Linked DNA regions of Coturnix japonica. The protein of the gene in region 2 purifies or fractionates together with the protein of the main gene of each other region. This does not show direct contact. Links are inferred from orthologs where the notes say so. Each region holds a gene or a part of one and is shown on either strand. Other genes may lie near its edges. The genes, in order: SMURF2, SMAD4, TRIM33 and BTRC.

What was found.
Region 1: the proteins of SMAD4 (region 2) and SMURF2 purify together in Homo sapiens (affinity purification with western blotting; 3 studies listed by BioGRID). This does not show direct contact. The link is inferred for Coturnix japonica from reciprocal best matches to the Homo sapiens genes SMAD4 and SMURF2.
Region 3: the proteins of SMAD4 (region 2) and TRIM33 purify together in Homo sapiens (affinity purification with western blotting; 7 studies listed by BioGRID and IntAct, with this or other methods). This does not show direct contact. The link is inferred for Coturnix japonica from reciprocal best matches to the Homo sapiens genes SMAD4 and TRIM33.
Region 4: the proteins of SMAD4 (region 2) and BTRC purify together in Homo sapiens (affinity purification with western blotting; 7 studies listed by BioGRID and IntAct, with this or other methods). This does not show direct contact. The link is inferred for Coturnix japonica from reciprocal best matches to the Homo sapiens genes SMAD4 and BTRC.

What each region holds. Positions count from the first base shown.
Region 1 is NC_029533.1:7,184,186-7,191,706, reverse strand, and holds the start of SMURF2 (E3 ubiquitin-protein ligase SMURF2), read right to left. Parts: upstream 3,937-7,521; 5' UTR 3,608-3,936; coding exon 3,556-3,607; intron 1-3,555. UniProt on the Homo sapiens protein: E3 ubiquitin-protein ligase which accepts ubiquitin from an E2 ubiquitin-conjugating enzyme in the form of a thioester and then directly transfers the ubiquitin to targeted substrates.
Region 2 is NW_015439872.1:56,326-63,870, reverse strand, and holds the start of SMAD4 (mothers against decapentaplegic homolog 4), read right to left. Parts: upstream 4,868-7,545; 5' UTR 4,830-4,867; coding exon 4,415-4,829; intron 1-4,414. UniProt on the Homo sapiens protein: In muscle physiology, plays a central role in the balance between atrophy and hypertrophy. When recruited by MSTN, promotes atrophy response via phosphorylated SMAD2/4.
Region 3 is NC_029541.1:3,872,933-3,880,382, reverse strand, and holds the start of TRIM33 (E3 ubiquitin-protein ligase TRIM33), read left to right. Parts: upstream 1-2,590; 5' UTR 2,591-2,606; coding exon 2,607-3,051; intron 3,052-5,782; coding exon 5,783-5,901; intron 5,902-6,008; coding exon 6,009-6,156; intron 6,157-7,450. Other genes in the region: DENND2C (DENN domain-containing protein 2C), read left to right, coding at 204-235; BCAS2 (pre-mRNA-splicing factor SPF27), read left to right, coding at 453-545, 621-713, 919-989, 1,051-1,212, 1,493-1,543, 1,711-1,791, 2,107-2,233. UniProt on the Homo sapiens protein: Acts as an E3 ubiquitin-protein ligase. Promotes SMAD4 ubiquitination, nuclear exclusion and degradation via the ubiquitin proteasome pathway. According to PubMed:16751102, does not promote a decrease in the level of endogenous SMAD4.
Region 4 is NC_029521.1:19,978,878-19,985,663, reverse strand, and holds part of BTRC (F-box/WD repeat-containing protein 1A), read left to right. Parts: coding exon 1-203; intron 204-872; coding exon 873-991; intron 992-4,580; coding exon 4,581-4,691; intron 4,692-5,296; coding exon 5,297-5,375; intron 5,376-6,786. UniProt on the Homo sapiens protein: Substrate recognition component of a SCF (SKP1-CUL1-F-box protein) E3 ubiquitin-protein ligase complex which mediates the ubiquitination and subsequent proteasomal degradation of target proteins. Recognizes and binds to phosphorylated target proteins.

The DNA.
Region 1 (7,521 bases), on a different chromosome or scaffold from region 2:
CTCAGATTAGCCTTCCACTCATCACACAGTTAGCTACATAGTTGCTGGAAGCAACACCCGGTAGGGCCAAGTGGATCCAGAGACTACAAGGCCAGAAGAAACAACTCTGATACCATGTCAGTCAACCACAAAACCACGACCTTGATACTTCAGAATATAGGTAGGTACTTTATCCATCAAAACACAATAAAATCAACAAGAGAGGCAGAAGATGAAATGATGCCCCTTTTCTACAAAGATCCAATGCTTTTATTCCTAAATAAAATAAATATTTATTATTATTAGTTATCACCAAACTGCTAAGGAACCCAAAAGCCTTATGGTAAGAGGGAAAAACCCACCTGCAATGCCTCACCAACAAACACAGCCCACCTCATTCCCATATTATCTGTAATACTTGTTACCACCTTTTACAGTACGGTGTAAACGTGTTTTGTGACTATCAAAGCATCTTCACTTGTTAACTATTCCGACAGCAAGCACTAGCTGTAAGAGCAGAGATAGATTAAATTACGCATCAACCTTTATTCAGCTCACATCTGAGCAGCCGTGCAATTTTGAAGATTTCAAAGTGACTTAAAAATATCTGTTTGATACAGACAGAATTCACTCAGACAACCATTACTGTATGTCAGAGCAGTCAGATGTAGCTGCTCCAACACCAGGTAATTCACAGGTTGAGACCAAATATTTACTGCGCAACTGAAAGCAAAGTTAATTCCTCAGTCTGAAGAATATGAGATCAATGCAGTCTTTAACACTCAGGGTGGGAATGGTCGGGAGAACAGCGAATCTACAAATCCATAAATAAATAAAAACACAGAAAAAACTCACACTGAGTGTGGGAGAGGATGAGCGGATGACGACTACAAGCAGAAGAAGAACCTCTGAAGGAACATTTATAACACAGATGCACTGCAAACCAAATAAAAACTTACTAGAAGTATGCCACCGCTGTGGTTTCTCTCTGTTATGGAACCCAGACCTAAATAAACTGTTAAACACTTAGTGTAAAGGTATGCCAAACATTTCTCAGAACTTTCTTAAGGTCCCAACAAAGAATCAACCTTTTTTGCAAAATGAGGCCTAGGTTCAATATTTTATTTGGCTCCTCGGGATCGACTGAGAAGTTGGGCACTACTACAGATCAGCTCTTGGACTCACATCAAACATTACCCTGTCATTTATCCAGTCAGTCAAAACAATGTTTTCCATCTAAACCTTTAATGTTTATGTCCTGAAAAACTGCTAATTGAATCCAGTTCTTGAATCCATTTATTTTTTATTTTTTTCAATCTATAGTATCTAATTTAGAGATAACAAATAGGAAAGATAAGTGTTACACAATGTTTACAGAATTAATCCTATAAATATTCAAGCCAGAACAGAAGACTGCTGGCATCATAAAGCCAAAGAAAATTAAGGTTATATAGCATTTGCAAGCATGAAAATAAACTTTTTAAAACACTGGAATATACAGATTCCTTTAATTCCAAACAGTTCTAGAATTTGAGAGCTCTCAAACTGCTTTTCCAATCAAAAAGGGTCATCAAAGCCACAAAGTACACTTAGATCTATTCCTATGCAAGGACTGACACCGTGTCAGCTCAATTAATAAAATCCAATGTTTGTAACAACTTTTCTTAAGCATATAAAGCTTCCCTACAACCAACGACCGCATAAAAAACAACAGGCAGTTTGCTAAAGCACAAAATACCTCAAGTCTTTCTAACTTGAGAAATAGGTCAATATTTCATGTAAGCTTCCAAATAACAGAACCGGTTCTCAGCGCCTGCACAGAGATGCTAAAAGTGGAGCAGTCTCTCTCTAAAGGCGACTTTGCTTTGAATCCATTGCTCTGCAGCCACCCCTCCTAAAAAACAGGTAATGAAAAACTCAGAATCGTTCCTCAAGAACGTACCTGCTTCTTTTGGGAACCACTCGGTACATACAACCACTGCCTATTGCTCACAGCTACACTCCCCTTGACATATTTATGTTGTCAAAGACAGGATTAGAAGACGTACTTAATCCTTAATCAAAATAAAACACAACAGAATACAAAACCCAAAGGTGAAGCAGACAGCCGCCTGAACAGTATTTTCCAGGCTTTTACTAAAGGCTCCAGACTATTCGCAATGTTTCGAAGATAAGCAAGTCTGAGCACTCACAGCAAAGGGAAAAAAAGCATTAAAGTTTTGCATCAATAAAGCAGTAACCTGAAGAAAAAGCTCCCAAGCACTGTACAAACAGGCAGCACTGCTCCATGCATCGGTCCCAGCCACATTTAGCTCACAGATTTCATTTCTCACTGTATTATATAGGCATTCACACATCTCAATGAAAATTACATTATAAATTTAGTCCAAGGTACTTCCACAGCAAAACATACATTGCATCTCCTCTATAAAAACAGCACGCTTGCAAAAAATAAATATGAAAACATCTGTATTTATATGACATCAAACTGGAAATATTTCAGATGTGCCTATAGTTAATGTTCCAATTCCTTCAGGTTTTTGTTAAAACATATTTGTTTTGCAAGCTGGTTAAACCCACTATCTGCAAATAAGAGTATTTGAAGCAATGTATCTCCTGCTTTCTAACGGCTTACCTTCAAGCACTCACACTTTGGAACCCAAGATAGGATTTATCAGCTGGGGGAGGGCCTTACATCACTTTGGAGCAGCTCTGTCCTATTAACTTCGCTGTATTATTTATTTTTTTTTAAAGAGAGCTCCAGTGTTCCTTCTCTCGATCAATGTACCTGGTTCTCTCATGTAAAGGATCATAACACTTCAAGTGCTTGGAAATAGCGTATTTTCCTTCCCTGCACGCAGGTGAGCAGCTTTTTAATGCTATTTTAAAGCATTCGAGGTCAAGTGGTCTTCTGAGAGAAAGCTGCCCACACAAGGCACCGTGTCAAACCGACTGTGTACAACCTTCACTAAGGAAGTCGGCTCGGGGAAAATATATATATATATAAAGAAACAAACAAAGAGATGAAAACAAAGCGTGTGTCACTTTCTTTCAAGTTCACGCTGAGAAGGCGAAGGAAAAAAAGCGAAACCCAGCGGTGGGGGCGGCGGGACGGGGCTGAGGTGCCCGGTACCACACGGCTCCCGCTGGCGTTTTGTTCCCGAGGCGGGCGGCCCACGGGGAGCTGCCCTCACTGAGGGAGCGGACGGGAGGAGAGGGAAGAGTTCGCTGTCTGTATTTTGCCCCTTCTCCTCACGAGGCCTGAGAGCCGCCTCCAAGCCCAGGTTCAACCTCAAATACACATGGAGGAGCTCCCGCTCGCTCGCTCCCTCCCACCCTCCAGCTGGGCTCGCCGGGGCTCCCCGCCGCTCCAGGAACTCGCTCCCCCGTGGCCGCGGGTTTCCCCTCCCCTCCCCGCCGCGCCCCGTCCCGCACAGCCCCGCTGCTGCTCGCCCCGTGCCCGAGCGTTATTCAGCGTTATTCAGCGTTATTCAGCGTTATTCAGCGTTATGCAGCGTTGTTATACAGCGTTATGCAGGCCCGGCCGCAGTTCCCCGCCGCCGCGCTCAGCCTCACCTGTCAGCCGCAGCTTGACGGGCCCGTTCCTCCGAGCCCCTTGGTTGGACATGTCCCCGGCCGCGGCTCGGGCCCGGCGCTGCTTTGCCCGGGGCTCCCCCTGCCTCTGGGTCCGGGAAGGGAGACGGGGGGGGAGGGGACGCGCTAATGGAGTCGGCTCGGGCGCTCAGGGCAGCGGCGGCCGCCGGAGGAGGAGGAGAAGCCCGGATGTGCCCAGCGTCGCCATGAGTGGGGCCGGGGCCGAGGAGGAGGCGGAGGAGGAGACGCGGCCGCCTTCCTTTCCCTTCCCTTCCCTTCGCTTCCCCGCCCCCTAACCCGCAGCCCGGGCGGCGAGCACAACAAAGCCGGGACGGAGCAGCGAACGGCCGCCTCCCCTCCCCTGGGCAGGCCGGGCTCGGCTCTGCTCTGCTCTGTGCTCGGCTCTGCTCTGTGCTCGGCTCTGCTCTGCTCTGTGCTCCGTTGGAGGCCGAGGCCGAGTGCCCACCCCGAGTCCCGCTCCGTCCCGGGGCTGGGGCCGATGTGAGCGGGATGCCCCATGGGGGCTGCATCAGGTGGCGGCGAGACTGGGGGGAGTCGGGAGGAATTACCGAGGTGTGGAAGGAGGGAAGCCAGAGAAACGGGTGGGGGGACAAAGGTACACGTGAGAAGAAACAGCATAGGAATACATTTAAAGCCGGGCTAAACTGAATAGGTCTGCCATGCGGGAGTGCTTGCAATCTGGGGCAATATTTTGGGTGGATGGGGCACAGCAGACTTGCCATGGGAGCAATGAACTCTGAGCTGATGTGCTGCTTGTCTGTGCTGCTTAAAATGAGCAGCGCGGTTGTGCTAATTGCCAAAAAAAAAATAAAAATAAAAAAAAAAGGCCTCACATTCCCATTGTGAGGCCTAATTTAGCTCCATCCTGCAGGAAAGGTGACTCCTTCCACAGTCTGTCCAGCTCCTGCACATCTCCCATGAGGGAGGGGAGCGCAGGGCTCACATCAATGCCAAGCGGGCTCTGAAGGCCGGGAAAAGCTCCCGGAAAAGCTGTAAAGTTGCCACAGTAAAGTTTACCTTATAAGACTGAGCTAATAAACCACACACCTATTCGTACTAATAACCTTACTAATGCTCTGTATGTTCACATGCATCTCACTCAGTCGTGTCATTGCACTGACTTCTTCCTGCTGAGCCAACCTGTTAAGTATTACTATAAGGGCGGTCATAGATTAAGATCCAACCTGAGTACCAAGATCCAAACACGGGATGAAAAGATGACCAATGCTTTGCAGAGTTTGTAATGTAGCTTCTGCATAGCCCAGTGTTCACTTTCTGAAGCTGCATACAGCACAGAACTGAACTAGCATGTCCAGAGTTGGCTCATCTTGGCTGAGTTTGGGGCTTGGACCTCATTAAATCACATCTAGGAGCAGGAATTGATTTTGTCCCATTGAAGGCCTCACAAGTAGGATATGGCTCTCAAAGTTTTCCCCTTTAAAATGAAGCCAGGCTGGATGTGGCTCTGGGCAGCCTGTTCTGGTGGTTGGTGACCCTGCACACAGCAAGGGGGTTGAAACTGGATGAGCATTGTGGTCCTTTTCAACCCAGGCCATTCTATGGTTCTATGAAAGGGTCCCCCCCTGTATGCACAGACTCACGTCTCCATTGTCCCATAGCGTGTCTCAAGCACCAGATCCTTCCAGGTGCAAATTTTCTGTGCAGTGGCACTGCTGTTCCAATGTCCCTTCACCTGGGAACAAAGCAGTCCTTCCTCAGGCAGGGTTGTGTCTGTTTCCTTCAAAGCTGCCTGTTAAATACAGAGATAGCAAATGTTAGTAGAGAACCTTCTTTCAGACTGCTCAGCTTCCAATGAAAATACTGTGAAGTGCTGGAGCATCAGTTGGGAGCTCACACTTTTGTGTCGCTGTATAAAATGCACAATATTTATTACTGCCATGCACACACAAGGCAGTTCTGTTCAGTATGTATGTATCTAATAGAGTAAGAGAAGAGGGGGTTAGCATCTTGCAGGCATGATACTTGCCCCGTTTAGGTCAGGACTTCATCCTTGACTCGTGTGAGTACAAATGATCTCAATCAGGTTGCACTTGAATAGACAAATGCACCAGATGCAAAATGCTCTTCTCTTCCTTTCTGGCTTTGTATAAGCATTACAATGTCTGTAGCCTGGATGTTCTACAGATGCTTCTGCCCCACGGAATCTCACAATTTTCTGTAGGGAAATTAGAGTTTTTATTCATTGCTCCCCTTTGCTGAGTAGAATTGCCAAGCGGAATTTAAGACAAGCAGCTCAATGAAGGATCTGTGCAGGATCTGCAATGAGCAGAGGTCAGGAAGTCTCACAGAGAGCCAAGAGCTGCAGGGAATGCAGGATACCAAAAACACTGACAGTACCTGATGATTGAAAGTGCTACTTTTCCAACAGAAGAATTCCACATTACCGTTATGATCCAAATTGTTTCTTGTGCCAGTGCTATCCCCCAAGTTCTGAAAGCATTCAGAATAATGGAACAGAGATCTCACTGATCCTGCCTTTAAGCCAACAGCTTACAGTAAATTTTGAGTTTATGGAGTTCATTTTCAAGGGTGAGCAGAGGTTTCACACTTTACAGTGCTGATCTTGTGAGGTAAGCAAGTAAATATTATCATTAACTGCTGACAAGTGATCTGTATTTCACTCTAAGCCGATATCGCTGAGCCACAAATCCTTTCAAGATGAGGTAGCTAACTCAGATCCGGAGGGAAGGGAGTGTCTTGCATCACCCCACAGCTCACTTTTTGGATGACAGCTTGCTGCTGGACTCAGAAGGGAGTCCCATCCAGTCTTCTTCAGCCAGCAGTCAGCAGCTGAGACACAGTCTCAAGGGCTCTGTAGAAAGGGAGTGAGCTCAGGAATCTGTAGAGGACGCTGGGAGGATGAAATAATTTAGCAGTTGGTAATGTGTTAGTGAAACCTTTGAAGGAATATGTAGAAATACAAAAACAACTTTTGTTCTATGGCTTCACAGAAAAGGGCTTTGACACTTGAATTTCCCAATAGGAAGAAAAAAAAAAGGCTTTGCATTCAGAGATCTCAAGGGATTTGGTGGTTTTGGATACTGGAAAATATGAACAAATGTCTTTAACCAAATGCTCCTCATTTTCAGAACTGGATAGTCAATTTTTTGGAGGTGAGGCCCTCTGCATCTTTAAAAATGGAAGAATAGGCTGGAAACCCATTCCTCAGCCCGTGGCATGCATTCAAAGCGAATCAACATGTAAGAATTACATTCAGTTTTTTTCTGTATAGAGGTTTAATCACAGCACATTCCTTCAGCAGTAATGAGAGCTGGCTGCTGTTATACCACATTCTTCCTCAGCTTCTGTGATGATATCAAGAGAGGAGAACAGTTCTGCCACTACTGTCAAGCTTTTCTGAGTAAATGAAAAGGTGAAAACAGCACTTTCCTGAGATAATTCCTAAAAACAAAGCTATTTCAAATTATCTGGATATTATTAATTATTATTAATTATCTCCCTTACTACACACTCCATTTGTCCCAAACCAATTTCCACAATTAATAGCAAGCATCTCCAAAGCAGGGACTTTCTCTTACTGTCTTAATTAGGCCATATCTAAGTTGATGTCAGAATACAGGACGCAGTGGAAGGCAATAATTAATGATACTAATCTACAACACCAAAGCTTAGACTCCAATACTTTGTTAAGTATTCTGTATATACGGAAGTAAGTATTGTTAAGTATTCTGTATATTATGTATACTGATTAACACATTTGCCTTCAACAGGTACCATTCTCCTAACCTGCCTCTTTGGCACAGGTCTTTCTTTTAATGTATCTATTACTTCTTATTGTAGCAAAGGTATTTCCCAGCTCCATTGCAGATCAACCACAATTCCATTCCTGCAAGGAATTCCATCCTTTGTGTGGCTTTTTGCTGATTTCCCTACTGCTGGCCTGAA
Region 2 (7,545 bases):
AATAGGACCCAATAGACCCCATAGAAACCAATAGGACCCCATAGGAACCAATAGGACCCCATAGGATCCCAATAGGACCCCATAGGACCCCATAGAACTCAATAGGACCCCATAGACCCTAATAGGACCCTATAGGAACCCAATGGGAATCAATAGGACCCCATAGAACTCAATAGGACCCCATAGGATCCAATAGGACCCCATAGGACCCCAATAAGACCCCATAGGATCCCAATAGGACCCCATAGGACCCCATAGGACCCCATAGAGCCCCATAGGACCCCAATAAGAACCTAATAGGACCCCATAGGACCCCATAGAGCTCAATAGGACCCCATAGAACTCAATAGGACCCCATAGAACCCTATAGAAACCAATAGGACCCCATAGAGCTCAATAGGACCCCATAGAACCCCCTTACGCAATTTGCGTAACTCCTCCCCATTGACTCCTATACACCCTTACGCAAACTACGTAACTCCCCCTACGCAAATTGCGCAACTCCCATTATGGAGCCCCCCGCCCTTACGCAAACTGCGTAACTCCTCCCATTGGCCCCATAGTCCCTTACGCAAATTGCGTAACTTCCCTTACGCAAACTCCGTATCTCCCCCATTATTTCCTATGGCCTCCCTTACGCAATTTACGTATCTCCCTCCCCATTAACCACCATAGTCCCTTACGTAAACTGCGTAACTCCCCCCATTATTTCCTATGGCCTCCCTTACGCAAATTACGTAATTTTACTCACCGATCCCAGGCGACACCACCCTCTCGTAATGATACGGGTTGACACACACACTATCGCACTTCAAATCAAACGCGTACTGACAATACTTGACGTGCTTCAACCCCATAGGACCCCATAGAACTCAATAGGACCCCATAGAAACCCATAGGAATCAATAGGACCCTATAGGATCTAATAGGACCCCATAGAACTCAATAGGACCCCATAGAACTCAATAGGACTCCATAGAACTCAATAGGACCCTATAGAACTCAATAGGACCCCATAGGACCCCATAGAAACCAATAGGACCCCATAGAACTCAATAGGACCCCATAGGATCCCATAGGACCCCATAGAACTCAATAGGACCCCATAGGAATCAATAGGACCCCAATAGGACCCCATAGGACCCCATAGAACCCCATAGACCCCAATAGGACCCCATAGAACTCAATAGGACCCCAATAAGAACCTAATAGGACCCCATAGGACCCCATAGAGCTCAATAGGACCCAATAGGACCCTATAGAACCCAATAGGACCCCATAGAAACCAACAGGACCCCATAGAACTCACTAGGACCCCATAGGACTCTATAGGACCCCATAGGATCTAATAGGATCCCATAGAACTCAATAGGACCCTATAGGATCTAATAGGACCCCATAGAACTCAATAGGACCCCAATAGGACCCCATAGGACCCCAATAAGAACCTAATAGGACCCCATAGACCCCATAGGACCCCAATAAGACCCTAATAGGACCCCATAGAACCCCATAGGATCCCAATAGGACCCCATAGAGCCCCATAGAACTCAATAGGACCCCATAGAACTCAATAGGACCCCATAGGACCCATTATAAACCCCGTAGTCCCTTACGCAAATTGCGTAACCTGAGCCCTCCCTTACGCAAACTCCGTATCTCCTCCCATTATAAAGCCCTACTCACTTACGCAATTTACGTAACTCCCCCCATTGGCTCCATAGTCCCTTACGCAAACTACGTACCACACTTACGCAATTTGCGTAACTCCCCCCATTATTTCCTATGGCCTCCCTTACGCAATTTACGTATCTCCCCCCATTTAACCACCCTCCCAACCTCCATTTACGCCAATTGCGTATCTCAATACTCACCGATCCCAGGCGACACCACCCTCTCGTAATGATACGGGTTGACACACACACTGTCACACTTGAGATCAAACGCGTACTGACAATACTTGACGTGCTTCAACGCCATAGGATCCAATGGGACCCCATAGACCCCATAGGAATCAATAGAACTCAATAGGACCCCATAGGATCCTATAGGACCCAATAGGACACCATAGGATCCAATAGGACTCTATAGGACCCAATAGGAACCAATGGGGCTCCATAGGAATCAATAGGACCCCATAGAACTCAATAGGACCCCATAGAAACCAATAGGACTCCATAGAACTCAATAGGACCCCATAGGAATCAATAGGACCCCATAGGATCTAATAGGATCCCATAGGATCCAATAGGACCCCATAGGATTCAATAGGACCCCATAGAACTCAATAGGACCCCATAGGATCTAATAGGACCCCAATAGGACCCCATAGGATCTAATGGGACCCCATAGAACTCAATAGGACCCAATAGGACCCCATAGGATCCCAATAGGACCCTATAGGACCCCATAGACCCCATAAGACCCCATAGGACCCCATAGAACTCAATAGGATCCCATAGGAACCAATAGGACCCCATAGGACCCCATAGGATCCCAATAACACCCTAATAGGACCCCATAGAACTCAATAGGACCCCATAGAACCCAATAGGACCCCATAGGATCCCAATACGACCCCATAGGACCCCATAGACCCCATAGGACCCCATAGGATCTAATAGGACCCCATAGGATCTAATAGGACCCCATAGACCCCATAAGACCTCATTGGACCCCATAGGAACCCATAGAACCCAATAGGACCCATTATAAACCCCGTAGTCCCTTACGCAAATTGCGTAACTCCTCCCCATTATAAACCCCTATTCCCTTACGTCAATTGCGTAACCCGACTCCCACTTACGCAAGCTCCGTATCTCCCCCCCATTATAACTACCGCACTCCCTTACGCAAATTGCGTAACCTGAGCCCTCACTTACGCAAATTGCGTAACTCCCCCCATTCTTTCCTATGGCCTCCCTTACGCAATTTACGTATCTCCCCCCATTAAATCATAGGACCCTATAGAACTCAATAGGACCCCATAGGACCCTATAGGACCCCAATACGACCCGATAGGACCCCATAGGACCCCAATACGACCCCATAGGACCCCATAGGACCCCATAGGACCCCATAGAATCCCATAGGATCCAATGGGACCCCAATGATACGGGTTGACACACACACTGTCACACTTGAGATCGAACGCGTACTGACAATACTTGACGTGCTTCAACCCCATAGACCCCATAGGACCCCATAGGATGCAATGGGACTCCATAGGACCCCATAGAAATCAATAGGACCCCATAGAAACCAATAGGACTCCATAGAACTCAATAGGACCCCATAGGAATCAATAGGACCCCATAGGATCTAATAGGATCCCAATACGACTCAATAGGACCCTATAGGACCCCATAGAACTCAATAGGACCCTATAGGATCTAATAGGACCCCAATAGGAACCCCATAGACCCCAATAGGACCCTATAGGAACCCAATGGGAATCAATAGGACCCCATAGAGCCCCATAGGACCCCATAGAGCCCCATAGGACCCCATAGGATCTAATAGGACTCCATAGAACTCAATAGGACCCCAATAGGACCCCATAGGAACCCATAGAACTCAATAGGACCCTATAGGATCTAATAGGACCCCATACACCCCAATAAGACCCCATAGAAACCAATAGGACCCCATAGGAATCAATAGGACCCCATAGGAATCAATAGGACCCCATAGAAACCAATAGGACCCCATAGAACTCAATAGGACCCCATAGAACCCCATAGAACCCCATAGGACCCCATAGGACCCCACAGACTCCATAAGACCCCAATAGGACACCATAGGACCCTATAGGACCCCATAGGATCTAATAGGACCCCATAGGACCCCATAGGACCCCATAGACCCCAATAGAACCCCAATAGGACCCCATAGGCCCTAATAGGACCCCATAGAGCCCCATAGAACCCAATAGGACCCCATAGAACTCAATAGGACCCCATAGAACTCAATAGGACCCCATAGAACTCAATAGGACTCCATAGAAGCCCCTTACGCAGTTTGCGTAACTCCCCCCCCATTAACCACCATAGTCCCTTACGCAAACTACGTAACTTCCCTTACGCAACCTCCGTAACTCCCATTATCGAACCCCCCGCCCTTACGCAAACTGCGTAACTCCTCCCATTGGCTCCCTAGTCCCTTACGCAAATTGCGTAACTTCCCCTACGCAAACTCCGTATCTCCCCCATTATTTCCTATGGCCTCCCTTACACAAATTGCGTATCTCCCCCCATTATATCATAGGACCCTGTAGGACCCCATAGGACCCCAATACGACCCCATAGACCCCAATAGGAACCCATAGGACCCAATAGGACCCCATAGACCCCATAGGACCCCATAGGACCCCAATAGGACCCCATAGGACCCCATAGGACCCCATTGTACTCACCGATCCCAGGCGACACCACCCTCTCGTAATGATACGGGTTGACACACACACTGTCACACTTGAGATCAAACGCGTACTGACAATACTTGACGTGCTTCAACTCATTCTTATGCAGGTCGGGCCACCTCCATAACCTCGCATAGATCACATGGGGGAACCCTTTCCTCCCAGCCACCTGCAGCCTCCCGTCTAATGTACGTTGTATAGTCACGCATTTACTCGGGTGAGCCCCGTTGGTCGTAATGGCGGCGATGAGAGAATCCAGCTCGTCTTTCTTCTCCTTCAGCTTCTTAACGAGGCTCTCGATGGCTCGTTTGGCGAAGGTCTCGCTCTCTCCTCCCTGTCTGTGGCACATTAAGCTGTGCACGATGCTCAGACACGCGTCGTTGCTGCTGGGGGGGGTGGAGATGGACATGGCGGACACCGGGAACGATGGAGAGCCCGATGGAGGCCGCTAAGATGGAGGGACGCAGCACATCCGGGTACTTAGGGGGGGTTCCGGGTTGGGAAGCCGCAGTACATCCGGGGATTTGGGAGGGACTTCCGGGTTTGAGTTACATCCGGGGATTTGGAGGGACTTCCGGGTTTGAGGGACATACGGGTACTTAGAGGGACTTCCGGGTTTGAGTTACATCCGGGGACTTCCGGGTTTGGGAACCCGCAGTACATCCGGGGATCTGGGAGGGACTTCCGGGTTTGAGTTACATCCGGGCATTTGGGAGGGACTTCTGCATCCGGGAACTTAGAGGGACTTCCGGGTTTGAGTTACATACGGGTATTTAGAGGGGGCTTTCGGGTTGGGAACCCGCAGTACATCCGGGGATTTGGGAGGGACTTCCGGGTTTGAGTTACATCCGGGGACTTAGAGGGGACTTCCGGGTTGGGAAGCCGCAGTACATCCGGGAACTTGCAGGGACTTCCGGGTTTGAGGGACATCCGGGGACTTACAAGGGACTTCCGGGTTTGAGGGACTTCCGGGTTTGAGTTACATCCGGGGACTTGGAGGGGCTTCCGGGTTTGAGTTACATCCGGGGACTTAGAAGGGACTTCCGGGTTGGACGCCCGCAGTACATCCGGGGACTTAGAGGGGACTTCCGGGTTTGAGTTACATACGGGTACTTAGAGGGGACTTTCGGGTTGGGAGCCCGCAGTACATCCGGGGATCTGGGAGGGACTTCAGGGTTTGAGTTACATCCGGGGACTTACAAGGGACTTCTGGGTTTGAGGGACTTCCGGGTTTGAGTTACATCCGGGGACTTCCGGGTTGGGAACCCGCAGTACATCCGGGGATCTGGGAGGGACTTCCGGGTTTGAGTTACATACGGGTACTTAGAGGGGACTTCCGGGTTTGGGAGTGAGCATGAGTTACATACGGGGATTTAGAGGGGACTTCCGGGTTTGGGAACCCGCAGTACATCCGGGGACTTGCAGGGACTTCCGGGTTTGAGGGACATCCGGGGACTTGGAGGGACTTCCGGGTTTGAGTTACATCCGGGGACTTCCGGGTTGGGAACCCGCAGTACATCCGGGGATCTGGGAGGGACCTCCGGGTTTGAGTGACATCCGGGGACTTGGAGGGACTTCCGGGTTTGAGTTACATCCGGGGACTTCCGGGTTGGGAACCCGCAGTACATCCGGGGATTTGGAGGGACTTCCGGGTTTGAGTTACATACGGGTATCTGGAAGGCACTTCCGGGTTTGGAGGTGCGCATGCGCAACATCCGGGCACTCGCGGCGCGGCCTTAAGAGCCGCCTCCATGTTGCGTGCGCACAACGGGGAGCGGCCTAAGCTACATCCGGGTCTTGAGGCGTCGTGGACACACGGTAAGACGTGACGTCATCAACCGGGAAGGGCCAAGATGGCGGACGGGCTTTGTCCGGTGTTTCTAGGCCTTAAAATGACGGAATAATGCGAAAGAACTAGTGCGCATGCGCGACACGCGGGTCTTCGCGGCGCCGCCATTTTGTTGCTTGTCACTTCCGGGTTGGGGGAACATCCGGGTCTTCGCGGCGCCGCCATTTTGTTGCTGTCACTTCCGGTTTGAGGGAACATCCGGGGATTTGGGGCGTCAATGTGGTTCGGGGTGAAAAAAACGAGTCGGGCGGGCGGGTTTTTTTTTTCGTTATTTTTTTTTATTGGTTTATTTTTTTGGTTGTCGTCGCCGCCCGCACGGGAATTAAAAGGGGGCTTAAAGGGGGGTAATAAGACCGGAAGTGGGGTATAAACCCGGAAGTAAGGTCAAACTGACCGGAAGTGGGGTTGAGAACCCGGAAGTGGTTGAGGAAGGGCGGAAGTAGTGCAAATCGAACCGGAAGTGGGGTGAAAAGGCCGGAAGTGGGGCTGGAGTGTTGGCAAAACCGGAAGTGGGGTTTAGAACCCGGAAGTGGGGGTCAGAACCCGGAAGTGGGGGGGTTTAAAGCCGGAAGTAGGCCCAAAGAAGCCGGAAGTAGTGCAATTAAACCCGGAAGTAGGGGGAGAAACCCGGAAGTGGGGCAGAAATACCGGAAATAGTGGTAAAAAACCCGGAAGTGGGGTAATAAACCCGGAAGTGGAGTGTAAATACCCGGAAATAGGGCAATAAACCCGGAAGTAGGGAAAAAATACCCGGATGTGGGGGTGGAACCCGGAAGTAGGGCCTAGAACCCGGAAGTAGGGCCTAAAAACCCGGAAGTGGGGGGAAACAGGAAGTGGGGGAAACAGGAAGTGGGGGAAACCGGATGTGAGGCCTAAAACCGGAAGTGAGACCTAAAACCCGGAAGTGAGGCCTAAAACAGGAAGTGAGGCCTATAAACAGGAAGTGAGGCCTAAAACCCGGAAGTGAGGCCTAAAACCCGGAAGTGAGGCCTAAAAACCCGGAAGTAGGCCTCAAACTAGGCCTGACCCTATAACCAGACCCGACCCTATAACCCGACCCTATAACCAGACCCTATAACCAGACCTGACCCTATAACCAGACCCTATAACCAGACCCTATAACCAGACCCTATAACCCGACCCTATAACCAGACCCTATAACCAGACCCGACCCTATAACTGGACCCGACCCTATAACCAGACCTGACCCTATAACCCGACCCTATAACCAGACCCGACCCTATAACCAACGGTGGTTTATCTATGTTCATATAGA
Region 3 (7,450 bases), on a different chromosome or scaffold from region 2:
TCTGGGCAGCCTGGGCTGCTGGTAGGTGACCCTGCATATAGCAGGGAGTTAGAACTAGATGCATTGTGGCCCTTTTTAACCTTTTTAACCTTTTTAACCCAGGCTGTTCTGTGGTTTTATGTGTGAAACTGTCATTCAGCGTCCAAATGATGCGTCTCGAAGGCTTAACGTGCTTTTTTTCTTGTTGTTTTTCTTTTCTGTAGGAAGTAAGATGAGATTTCTCCAGAAGAAATGAACGTGGAGCCTCAATGAGGCGGTTGGACAACCAACCCCATCCCGGGGCCGGACTCATTGCTCCCTGTGCAGCTGAGGCGGCTCCGTGCCGCCATAACACGCCGCAGTGCCGCAACCAATCAGCGTGTCCTCTCCTCTGTGGGCGGGGCGGGATGAGGGCGGGGCCGCGCCGTGAGTCTAGGCCTGGGGTGTGCGCATGCGCGGTAGTGGTAACCATCATGGCGGGGCCCGGGCTGGTGGCGGGGGACGTGGTGGTGGATGCGCTGCCGTACTTCGATCAGGGATACGAGGCGCCGGGCGTGCGGGAGGCGGTGAGTGCGGGCCGGGTCGGGCCGAGCCGGGTTGGGCTGGGCTGAGCTGAGCTGAGGCGGTGCGATCCCGGCTAGGCTGCGGCTCTGGTGGAGGAGGAGACGCGGCGCTACCGGCCCACGAAGAACTACCTGAGCTACCTGCCGGCACACGACTGCAGCGCCTTCGAGGTGAGCCAACACGGCCAGCCGCCCCTCAGTGCCCCTCATTGCCCCTCATTGACCCTCATTGACCCTCAGTGCCCCTCAGTGCCCCTCAGTGCCCCTCATTGCCCCTCAGTGCCCCTCATTGCCCCTCAGTGCCCCTCACGGCCCCTCACGGCCCCTCACAACCCCTCATTGACACTCACGGCCCCTTATTGCCCTCTCCCTGCAGACCGAGATCATGCGGAACGAGTTTGAGCGCCTGGCGGCCCGGCAGCCCCTGGAGCTGCTCAGCATGAAGAGGTGAGTGAGGGGGGGCTCCTGGTCTGGCTCTGGGTGGGATCCGAACCGTGCTCCGTTCCAGGTATGAACTACCGGCTCCATCCTCCGGGCAGAAGAACGACATCACGGCGTGGCAGGAGTGTGTTAACAACTCCATGGCGCAGCTGGAGCACCAGGCAGTGCGCATTGAGAACCTGGAGCTGATGTCCCAGCACGGCTGCAACGCCTGGAAGGTGTACAATGAGTAAGGCTGGGGATGGAGAGACAGCATGGGAAATGGTGGTGTGGTGGCTGCAGATAATGCTGTCCTGATCCTCCTCACCTGAAGCCACTGTTGAAATGGCTAAGAAACACATGGAAGTGTGGCTTTGAGAAGCTCTGGGGCTGTTTCAGACAGCTGCTTGCCTTTAGTGGATGGCTGCATGCTGGGCTCTTCTAGGAGGGTTATATGTGAGGCTGGTTAAATTGATCTTATTTAGTAACTGTGTGTTTTTTCTCTTGCTTTGCTTCCATTCTGCTCTCAGACACCTGGTTCATATGATAGAACAAGCCCAGAAGGAGCTTCAGAGGTTGCGGTGAGTGGTTTTTCATAGCTCTATACAGAGGTTGGAAGGGATATAGAAACTCCTACTTTGGGGTAGGAGCTTCCAGGGCAGCCAATTTCAAACTGCATTCATGAGTAAATGAGATGAAGGAGGACAAGACCAACACAGGTCTCTTCATGTTGTTTTTTTCCCCTCAGGAAAAGCATTCAGGATCTGAACTGGCAACGAAAGAACATGCAGCTGACAGCAGGAGCGAAGCTACGAGAGATGGAATCCACGTGAGTAGCTGGGATTTATTCTAACACCCCCTTACGGGGAACAGTGCTGTCATAGCAAACCATCACACGGCTGCTATTGGTTTGCACAGGGTGCTTTAGAGGGTGCATGGTTCAGCTCCGTGTTGATGGTTTTTAGCCCTTTTTTCCTTACAACGTTTCATTTCCTGCATTATACATTGAGGTTTAATAGTTGGAAGCATCTTGTAACCTTGTTCAGGTTGCTCCTGCTGTCAGCTGAGCTGTGTTGGGGCTGATGTTGGTGTTGTGCTTTGTTATGGCAAACACCTTAATGCTCTATGAATCATTCCCTTGCAGCTGGGTGTCCCTTGTCAGTAAGAACTACGAGATTGAACGGACCATTGTACAGCTGGAGAACGAGATATCCCAGATCAAACAGCAGCACGGGGAGGCCAACAAGGAGAACATCCAGCAGGACTTCTGAACGCTGCTCCCTCCTGAACTCCGTGTTTGTACGTTTCCTACGGCGCTGTAATAAACTGCTTTGCCCAATAAAGGCTGCTTATCTCCCCTCCTGGCTGATAAGGGCTGTTCAGCGCCGGGCTTATCAGCAGCTTATCAGCAGCGCTGCGACTTGTGGCTGCGGCCTCCACCCGCGTGGGGGCGCTCGCGGCCGGTCGGTAATTGCGTTTGAGAGGTGTGGGCGGCGCTCTATCCGGCGGTGCGTCACGTGACGTCACGTCTCGTCTGTCCACGCCTGCGCGCGCCCCCGCCCCGCCCTCCCGCCGTGGAGCGCGCACGTCGCGTGGTGACGCAGTGCGTGAGCGGAGCGGGGAGTTGGGTTCAAAGGAGGAAACATGGCGGAAAACAAAGGAGGCGGCGGCGGCGGGGAGGGGGCGGCCGAGCCCGGGCCGGGCGGAGCCGGCTCCATTGAGCCCGCGGCCGCGTCCCCTTCGGCTGCGGCGCCGCCAGCGCCATCCGCGGCGCCTCCGGAGGAGCGGGAGAGCCCCGGAGCGGCACCGGCGGCGGAGCGTGGGCTCGGGGAGGCCGAGGCCGAGGCGGGGCCCGGGGTGGTTCCTGGGCCGGGCCCCAGCCCGGTTCCCCCGCTGACTCCGGCGGCTCCGGGGCCGTTCTCGCTGCTGGACACCTGCGCCGTGTGCGCGCAGAGCCTGCAGAGCCGGCGCGAGGCCGAGCCCAAACTGCTGCCGTGCCTGCACTCCTTCTGCCGCCGCTGTCTGCCCGAGCCCGAGCGGCAGCTCAGCGTGCCCGTACCCGGCGGAGCCAACGGCGACGTGCAGCAAGGTGAGCGGGGCGGCGGGCGCGATACCGGGCTGTGCCGTGTCTCCTGCCGGGGCTGTGTCCGTGACCGCCGGCATTGCGGTGCCGCCATCCCCCGGGCTCTGCTTCCCGGCTGTGGCAGCCGCTCTCTCGTGTCGCCGTTCCACGTGAAGCCGGAGCTCGCACGTCCATGTGCTCGCTGGGGATGGCGGTGTGGATGGCGTCGTGCTGCTTGTTTTGGCTTCCAGGGCTGCAGCGTTAGGGCCGTGGTGCTGCCGGGTGTTGAGCCGTCCGGGGGTGGGACACGCGGGTACATTCTGCGCTATGGAAGGAGGTTGGACTCAGCCCGTGGCCGGCAGGACTGTGCTCGGTGACACCTGTTTGGCTTTGGGAGGGCTCCTCTCTGTATCGTTTTGATGTGTCGTCACACGGCCCACAAGGAATTTCCCGGCCGTGCTGGTTCTGCCGGCCGTGCTGACTGCTGCAAACCGACCATGGGTCCGAGCATCGCTTCCTCAAGCACGAATCTCCCATGGTAGTTTCTAAACACACCAACTGAAGCACTCTGAGCTTGGGATCTTTCTTGTTACATCCAGACTTTGTGTTTTACATGGCGTGTACCGGGAGATGCTCATGAAGTTAGGCTAATTGTACCAGTAATCAGCAGCACTGTGTGACTATATCTGCTGGGGTGCGGGTCCAGCCAAACCACAGAGTTACTGCTAACCTGGAATCTCAATTCTTGTCACCCACATTGTCAGAGTGCTTGATGGTGTGCTGGGCTGAGATAAGGATTCATCTGTTGCTCAGGACCTTACAGATGTCACTAGTGAGGTGTGTGTGCAGGATCCCTGCTGCTGGAGCTGTGTGTGTTAGTGCAGCGGGTCACTAAAGAGCAATGACACACATCTGTAGTATCCTGAGCTGTGAGCAGATGCTTCATGAAGGAATTATTGGAGAATAATATGTGTGGCTATTCCTGTAGTGGGTTATGGGCAACCAAAGGCCATCTCTGTGCTGTGCTACTCTGCAAGCATCCACATTTTCCTGCTATTTTTCTGTGCCTACATAAGCAAATCACAATTGCAATGGAAAATTACTGATTCTTTTGATAGTTTCCTATCGAGTTGTTTTCTTAATTAGTATCAGATTTTTATCCATAAGCACTTATAAGTTATCAATATGTGTATTTATTGGCTAATAACTGTGAAAGCTGCTTGAGTGTGGGTTGGGTACCAGCAGTTTTAGGTCATTGGTTTGTGCATTTCATTTGGTGGGAAGGTGATTTCTCAATGCCTGAAGTTTCATCTGTCCAGCTGTACCCTTAGGTTGAATAGAAGCCCATAAGAAAATGCTCTTGTTGTATTTTTAAATCACAGTATTAAAACCCCTTATTTTTAAGTTAGAGACTTCACAGTGGGGCTGTAGGATTACTTTCTTACCCATCCAGAGCTGCTGCTTTACCTGCACACAGTGGTTATTACGAGGGCTCACTGCTTTGCTGAGGTTGTTGTTTATGCTCTCATAAGATGAGGTCAGTAGAGAGAATGTGTGGTTCTCCAACCCCTTATGAACATCACAACATAGACAGCCTTTATTAGGGTGGAAGCCTAAAAAAGAGCTACAAGATGCTTTCAGAAAGGCCAAGAAAACCGAAGATCAGTGCGTATAGATGTGTAACTCAAGGAAAAAACATAAATTATTTTGAGATGCTGAATTCAAATCCTGTACCCAAGGTTTGGAAACACTGTATTAAATTACATCTTAAATTATGCAGGAACTATTTTTAATCAGCTTTGGAAGGGAGGGGAGATAAAAATGATGTTACAGCCACACAAACGTGACTATCACTTAAATTGAGCTGGATGGTGATTGTTTTCACTAAGGAAAGTTTATAACTACAGCATCTTTAGGAATAAGTGTTTGAGCACTTAAATTCCCAATAGAAGTGGGTGCTTTGTACCTGCAGTCACTGCTATGGATGCTGTCAGCCCCTGAACATGGCAGGCGTTCATTGCTCTGCGGGCTGCTACGTGCCAAGGGTGAGCACAGAAGGGAAGTTGGAGTTGCTGGGTTGCACAAGTGCTTGCCAATATTTCCTGAGCTGTGGAGTTTTATCGTCGTTATGGCCATGCAAACATCTGAAAGGGTTTTGAACTTACTCATTATTAACTTAATGCTTCTGTTTTGGAAACCAGTCTGACGTGTTTCAGCCCAAACCAACCTGTCTTTAAGGACAGGTGTCTGAAATGGGGTTCGCTCTAACAGCATTGAGGGGTGAGGAAGTTGGATTGCTCCTGGGTGGTTTGGTGGAGTTTGGGGCTGCCTCTAATTGAGGTCATAAAAATCAACAGGAAAAACTTAAGCAGTTTCTTTACAGTCAATGTCCTCAAGGATGATGGCAGCACGTGGGTTGCTGAGGCCCACAGGTGTCACGCTGGGCCTGGTGCTCAGTGCAGGCCTGGCCAAGAAGGGCAGCTTCCCTGTTTGCTGTCAGCTGTATGTTAACAACATTTTCTGTTTGCATTGTGATTTGCTGCAGAATGAGGTTGCTTTTCCTCCTCAGTTCACTCCAGTCATACCCTTTCTGACTGACTTCTGTGTCTGTTTTACCTTGGGGTGCTTTTTTACTCCCCATGTTGCAGACCTGGGGAAACTAAAAGAACGCTGTGGGCTGCGTTGGCGATGGCTGAAATGAGCACGAGGATTTTGTGTTTGTTTTTCCTATAACTAAGAAACGTTTTGTGTTTTTCAGTTGGGGTAATCAGATGTCCGATATGCCGCCAAGAATGCAGGCAGATAGATCTGGTGGATAACTACTTTGTAAAAGACACATCAGAAACACCAAGCAGCTCTGATGAGAAATCAGAACAGGTACGGTGCTTTTCTGCTTGCTGGGATTCCCATGCTGGTTTCTTTTCCCTGTGTATGTTAATGCTTTCCAGGAAAGTGATGGCAGCTGACCTTTCTTCCCTTTGCAGGTGTGCACAAGCTGTGAAGATAATGCTAGTGCTGTTGGGTTTTGTGTCGAGTGTGGGGAGTGGTTGTGCAAGACCTGCATAGAAGCTCATCAGCGAGTGAAATTTACTAAAGATCACATGATTAGAAAAAAAGAGGATGTATCGTCAGGTGAGTGTTTGGATATCGTTTAGTCCTGCCTGTGTATACAGATAAGCTTACAGTCATGCTCAGTATAGTCTTACAGCTGCGTTGATGTTGCTGAGTCAATTGGAATTTGAATTCATTCTTAGGTTTTATTTCCTGGTTAGCAAAAATGAATGTGCATTGTGAATGTGCAATTTAAACATGCAGCTTCATTAGGAAAGGTTAATTACTCAGCTACTGATTGACAGTGTTGTTTGCAGTCTACTGAAGTAATGGGGCAAGCATTCCCAGAGCAGGTAGATATAACTCTCCCTGTATAAAGGGGTTAGGTTCAGATTTGCTGTTTTTTTCCATCTAAAATAAGTTAAAATCTTCATGATTGCTCTGTTGCGCTATTGCAGAGTAGTGACGCTGCATTGCTTTCTGCCATTGGTTTTGGCAAAATCTTATTAGTGGTTAAAAACTATTACTGCTAAGCTTAGTTCCTGTGGACAATGATCTTGTTTTGCTTGCTATATCAAGTAGACTTTTAAGATTATTTGACTTTAAATGCATTAACCCTAGTAAGCACTTACCAATTAATGTTAAGTCAGATGAGAGGACTCTGCAGAGGATTGGTAATGTTTTTCATTAGGACTGCTGTGGCCATCAGGGTGATAATATAACCCCATGTACACTGAGTGGGGGGTGCCCCGAAATGACTGTTCCAGTAATGTACTTTATGAAGGTGGAGTCTGATGGCAAGTCCATATGGCAGGGACATAGCTGTGTCAGCTTTCAATTCATGAGCTCTTTTTCTTTACCATAACTTGCATGTCGTAACAACCTTCAGAAATTTTGGGGACTACGATGCGTTTACTTGTTTTAAGCTTTACCTGCTGTACCTTCCAGAAGCTGCTTTCCTCTGTGCCAAGCTCAAAAAAGCTTTACAACACCTTTTTAGTAAATCCAGAAGTGTTTTCAACAGTATCTTTGTGTTTAAGTGGAAAAGTTCTCTAGCTTAGCTGGGACTTAAGTAATTTTATGACCCATAAGAATGTTAGCTCTGCATTTACCACTTCAGTTGGGCATGACTTAATGAGTTTATAAAGATTTTGGAGTGATAATTTAGAAGATCTGTAAGTTTCTGACAGTGTAAAAGCTTGAGAAGTTCAGTCTATCTTGATTTCATCTATTAACATGAGTGTGAAATGCAAGTGTGTACCAGCAGTCCTTGCAGTGTCTTTTGAGTGGTTTTGGTGGAGAGAGAAATTCCTCCTTCATTTTGAATACAAGAAAAGTGGGGGCAGCTACAGAACGCTGGCACTGTAACTATTGT
Region 4 (6,786 bases), on a different chromosome or scaffold from region 2:
ACTGCGAAGCAGTACTGCACCTCCGCTTCAATAACGGCATGATGGTGACGTGTTCCAAAGACCGTTCCATTGCTGTGTGGGACATGGCTTCACCAACAGACATCACCCTGAGGAGGGTACTCGTAGGGCACCGCGCTGCTGTCAACGTAGTGGACTTTGATGACAAGTACATCGTATCAGCATCAGGTGACAGAACTATAAAGGTGAGGTATTTCAGAGGTTTTTTTATTTGCAGCACTGAGTATTTACTAACAAAAAGCAATGACCAGACAGGGAAAAGATGGTCTTTGGCTGTCATTACACTTGTCTTCCTTTAGAAGCAGTATTCCTCCTGCTCATTTCCACTCATCTGCTGAGCTTGTGTGACTTGCTGACAGAGCTGTATGGCAAGTCAGATCCAGGTGCAGATGCAGTTGAAAAAAGACTCTTTTTTTCCCTGTGTTCTTTTTCAATTTGACCGGTTTCACAATCTGTTTCAGCATTGGTCACATAAAGGGTTGTCAGAGGAGGCAAAAGCAAAGGTGAGTGGGTAGGAGTCACTTGAGTTTTACTGCTGTGATCCTGATTTGCTGCATTAAAGCTGAGGAAAATCCAGTTCCTGTGTAGACTAAAACAGAGCCTGGGAGTGCTGAGGACTGATTTTGGAAGCTGATTCTAGTACAGTATGGCAAAAACCTTCGGTGTGCTATGTCCCAAGCTGTGAACACTTTCAGGCTATAGTCACAAGTCATCAGAGGGGTGATTTTCCTGGTCTTATGGAAGTGTGTTCTATTAAGAACATTCTAGGTGTACCTCTGTATCATACAGATACCATCTTTTGTTAGTCTCTTCTTAATAATTTTATCTGTGTGGTTTCACCTTTCCTGTCACAGGTATGGAACACTAGTACCTGCGAATTTGTGCGCACCTTAAATGGCCACAAACGAGGCATTGCATGTCTGCAGTACAGAGACAGGCTAGTAGTGAGCGGCTCTTCAGATAATACTATCAGGTGAGAGACACATTCCCCGTTGCAGAGTTCTTTGCAAGCATGTTGTCTCTGATTCCCTGGGATGCATGGAGGTTAGGCAAGCAAAGTGCTCTGTACCCTTGTCTTCCTTGAAATATGCTTCCTTTGGTAGAGAACATTGGGAACTACTGGGAAGAGATATTAGAAGTCTGTTTTACTGTGTTGTCTTTCATCCCCTGTATCTCAGGAGTCCCATACTAATCAACAAGTTCCATTGCTCTGACAATTCTGGTGTATGAAAGAGCTGGCAAGTAACACTTTCTGTGATGTCCTCTTGTGATATTTTAATTGGGCTATGTGTCTAGTTAAAGGGGTCAGATTTGCAGTAAGAGGCATTTAATCCTCTGCAGAAATCCTCCTGGGCTCTGGCCAAGCTCTTCTTGTGGTACTTGGCACCGGGTTAAGTTTGGAACAGCTGGTTTAGAGCATGAAGTTCAGTTTGCTGCCTTTTGCACTTCTCCAGCTGCCCTTGCTGCAATCTGAGATTTAACTCCTTCTGGTATCGTGAGCCAGGATTTCTCCCTACATCCAGCAGCTGCTGGCAGAGGGGTGCCCCACTTATCTCTGGGAGTACTCAGCAAGCTGGAATAGGAGTGTAAGTTGTGTGGGGAAGCGGCTCTGTCGTTCAAGCAGGAGGAAGAGGTGCCTCCATTTTGAATTGATCACTGCTTTGAAGAATTGTGTTCCTTCTGATAAAACTGGAAGCCTGGACAGCCTAAGCAGAAAGTCTTCACTTTTGATGTTAGAATTTATTTCTCCTCAGTGAGAGTGATTCACGCAGATGTTTGTCTGTGGACTTTGTTTGCAAAACAGTGCTTCTCCATGCTTTGCGCTCTGGAAAATGGAGGTCCTTTGACAGTCATCACTGGATTGTTGCACTGGGTTTTAGTGTGTGGTTGCCTGAAAGCATGAGCTAAAGAGCTGGGGTGTCTGTCTCTTTATCAAGGCAAAAACTATTAATAGACATTGTGTAAGAGTAGCACCATATATGTAGTAAAAACTCCAGATGGAAAAAATAACCCTCTGCTTCTGTACTATGAAACTTGGTCTCAGAGTAAGAAATAGTTAAATACTGCACCGTTTAGGGAAGGATCTAAAATAGACGTAATACTAATAAAAATAAATGTCAATGTAGTGATAATGCTAAAGAGGAGTGCGATGACTTTTATGCTTACACTGGACAAAATCCCTAACTGACAGATAAATTGTGCTAGAATTTCAGGAATGTTGGCAGTGAATCTTAATGGAAGTCAGATTTGGCAGCTGTGTGGGCAGGGCACAAGGTTTACCTGTTCACGTAGCTTCCTCCCAGCCATTAGCAGAAGGCACATGTCAGAGGAAGAGTGATTAAGCAAGGGCAGGTTACTAAGTCCTCTCCGTGGGTGGCTCGGTGTTTTGCATGTTTGATTTTAATCCATTGTAAAATACCAGATGTTGTGTTGGCCTTTAATAGGGATTGCCTCTTGGTATTGAATTTGAAGTTGGCCATTCCTCGGTTACAGGCAAACTTTTTTTTGCAAAAGGAGCTGACTGTGTGTGATTACTGTGTGATTACTCATTCTTCAACCGTGAAGATAAGGAAGTAGCCGAGAAATCAGTAACTTTCTCCTGTAGAGAGACTCCGTGTATAAAAATGATTTAAGTTCTGTTTTGTTTCTGCTTGGTCCTTTGACTATTTAAAGAAGTAGAAATTTGAGGAGATAACCAAATCTGGGAGGTTCCTTTAGAACCAATTCTAGATATGCTGTTCTTACATAGTTACATACACAGTTACTCCTTTTGTGTGTGGAAGCCCATTGCTCTCAGAGCTAAGGGTTGCAATCGTCTTTTCTAAATCACAGTCAAATTCAGTTAAAAACCTCAGACTAGGACCTGATAATACAAGCCTAATTCAATGCGGAGCAGCCTTGCCAAGCTGCTGGCAACCTCAGGATTGATGGCAAGGAGTGGAAACACATGGCACAAAAGTTCCTGGCACAGGATTGCTCTTCAGACCTTTCTGCACCAATTCATTTCTGGCATTGTGCATCCCATTTGCAGTCCTTGGCAGGAAACGTAATGCTCTCTGACCAGCCAGAGTGCCTTTGGCTGAACTTTAGCATGGATTTGCTTTCTCTGACCTTAACTGGTATGTTGGTGCTAATGCAAAAACCTTTGGAGTCTTCACAGGTTGATGAACACTCAGCTTCACAGACTGAGGAATCATCTTCTGTTCCTCTTTGGCCTCAGATGTGTGACACCTATTGATATGGTTTAGTGGCCGTGGTGGTGATGGGTTGATGGTTGGGCTCAGTGATCTTGGTGGTCTTTTCCAACCTCTGTGATAAACTAACCCTTTCCCAGTGCAGTTATAGAACAGAAGAGTTCTGTTCATTCCCCAGTCTTCCGTAGTGAGAGCAGCTTGTTGTAGCAGGACAGATGAAATGATTACCCACCATCCTCGGGCACACATCCACTGGGTCTGGATTATTCCCTGGGGGACCTCGGGATTGAAGTATGTGGGGACGATTTATCTCTCTCTCAGTTTCTCAAGGAAAAGTGACCTGACCCCATAGCAGCTGTACTTCTTTGCGTGGTGTCACCCAGACAAATTCCGTGAACCATGAACCTCACTACCATGAAGTCCCTGTCAGTCTGAACTCTAATTGAACGAGCATTCAAGAACATCTGTGACTGCTTTTTCTCAGCTGTGTGTCAGAGCCTCAGCAGATACTGCTATTGAAAGATTCCATTTGTTGTGAACCAAGTTCATGTCATCTGGAGGTGGAACACCTGCAAACAGTACATGTCAAGAATTTCAGTTCTTGTCAGCAAATTATTTCTCTTTATCTGTTCTAATTGGGAATCCCCACAAAGAGCTGACAAAAGTATCAAAAAAAAAAAAAATAGGCTTACTTCTTAGAAAATCATTTGAGCACAAGAAGAAAATGCATTACAAATACACATAGAATGCCCATTTTAGCTTATGCATAAGTTACCTTCGTTACAGAGCGAATACACCTTCAGTGGGAGAAAGTGACAAATATAAAGGGCTTGTAAGTTCTTGTACCTTTCACCACTGTATGCACAATTTGTCTGATGTTAGTTTGCAAATCATAAATAGGGCGTGTAGGGGCATAGAAGGGGTGTGTGTCTTGTGAAGGTGCTTTTACCTTTGGAGTAAGGGTCCAGGAGGTCTGGTGAGTCTCTCACTTAACATCTTCAAATCAAAGTGAGATACTTTTATGAAAATCTGACTTAAGTAAAATAAAGTCAGGCTGCTCATGAAGATAACTGGGAGATATCCTGTGTCTTGTGTTAATAGCGAAGTAGATGGTGGGCATGGCTGATCTTAAAATGCTTGGGTATCCGAATAATCCCCCACGTGATACTGTCACATAACAGAGTCTTGTTGAAAAACATGCATTAGTTGAACTGCAGGAAAAGGAGTGATGAATAGTTTGTTTGTTCTTTGGTGCTTCATCATAAACTTTATCCCCTAGTTTTCATTAACTACAAGCAAAGGCCAAACGTTTCCTTGAAATAATCAGAAATTCAGAAGTTCTCAGTGCTTCTTCCTGATCTCTTCCAGGCTGTGGGATATCGAGTGTGGGGCATGTTTGCGAGTACTGGAAGGCCACGAAGAGCTGGTGAGATGCATACGCTTTGATAACAAGAGGATAGTCAGCGGAGCATATGATGGGTGAGGCTGGCTAATGCCTTGCATCCTCCTGTCTTTCTCAGTGTCTCACATCCCACTTTGCTGGATCTTCCTTATAAGAGTTAGATTTCTTGTCTGTCATACCAGGAGTTTCCTGTCATGGCCAGTAAGTCAGGCTGATTCTACAACATACACCTGTTGTTGTTTCTTCCTTCTCAAAATGTCAGTGTGATTTGATACATGTGGTCCATTTCTTTAGCTCATAAAAATATCAGGTAGACTTGATGTGAAACATCTTCTAGCTCAGCCATTGGTAAGAGCAGTGTTTCCCTTCTGTGGTTGTCTTCTGATCCATTTGCCACTAGGACTAGCGTGCATTAACCCTCCCATATGTTTCTGTTAGTTACTATTGCCTGCTTTTTTTATGTTTTACTTTGCCAACAGCGTATTCCTTTCTCCCTTTAAGTTCTATGAGCATTATGAAGGAGAAGTGCAAGAACTACAGGAGCAGGATTCCTGTAATTTTCCTTGAGCTGCTGTATCAGCTCAGCTGCACTAACAGCTTTTTGTTTGTTCTCTTTTCCTGTGAGCACTTCACCTTTCCTTTTTAACAGAGATGTGTGTTTCTCTATTTTTTTCACTACTAGGAAAATTAAGGTATGGGATCTGGTGGCTGCTTTGGACCCCCGTGCTCCAGCTGGGACTCTCTGCTTACGAACCCTTGTGGTAAGAGCATTGGGTAAGGGTGGTGAAGGGAGAAGGAAAGTGTTCTTGCTCAGGGCTGTCTTGAGCCATGGAAATTCAAGTCAGTTTAGCACCAGCCTGCAGGATCTAAAAGTCATTTCTAGAGATCTGGCTTCTTGATTTGAAGTTAAGAACTAAGTCATTTTTGAGACTTGTGCTTGGAATTCATGTGTTGGTGGCTTTGCTTAACTGTGCCTTTTTCCATGAGCTGTTGGCAGGGAGTTTCTTAAAGAAAAGCGGTAAATTCCAAAATCTGATGGGGAAAATAAACACACAAAAACAACCTTTTCATTTTCACCTGCACCCTCATCTACCACCCAAATTTCACTAAAGTATTTTGCTTCACATTTTGCACAGGCTCTGAGGGTTGACAGGCAGTAGGTCATTAAGCCACACTAGCTCTTCTCCAATCCTATATTTGTACCATAAGCTGCAGAGTAAGAGTCAGTGAGAGCCTTGGATGCCTGCAGATGCTGTGTTGAAAAACCTCCTTGGTAGCCACAGAGAACTACAAATAGTTTCATGGCTGAAATCCAGAAAACCTTTTTGTCATCAGCCACCCAGCTGCAAACTGTGGAACAGCTCTGTGCCCATGAACACGTATCCCGAGAGTCCAAGACTTCAGTGTGATATTAGTGGTGTTTCTGCTCCAGCCCGAGACAAATGTGTGCCTAGTAACCTGTAGACTTAATTTAACTGGTGCGATTTCCTCTGCATTTTCCAGCAGTGGACAGCCAAAGTGCCCCAACTAATTGTATTATAAATCAGAAGCGGTGGGATGGAAACACTGTAGGAATCTCGACACATGGATACTCATAAATCCCTGTTTGATAGCGATGGAGGAGGCCAGAAGAGGAGGGGCAGAGGAGGCTGTCGTAGTGCTTTTAGGGCTTTTCATGTTTATGACAACAGGGCGTCCTTATACCCGCTTACCCATAGTTGTGGTGGTTTTTTTTTCCCCCTCTCTTCTCTCGGCCTCCAAAATTAAACCTGGCTGCACAATGAACATCGTGAGTCTCCCGCTGCTCGTGTTCAATTTTCAAACAGTAGGAGGAAAGTGCACAGATAACAAATGCTCTCTGCGTGCCAGGTCCCTCCCGTTAGCTGGAACAGCAGCCACACGAGTGTCACAGAAGCTTTCCAGGCACAGAAAAAGCAAACAGCACAACTCTCCTTCTGAGCTGAAGGGCCCGGCTTCCTGCAGCCTCAGCTTAGGGTGTGCAGTCTGCTTATTGTCACTGCAAATGCAATGGGGATGGCTGCATGGAACTTCTAGGGCAGTCTTAGCCTACAGTGGCTGAGAGGAAAAAGGCTTTTCAAAATAGTTTGTAGAAACACTTCTCTCTTGGTGCATCTGCTAAGGGTCTATCAGTGGATCTGGCCATTGTAGTGA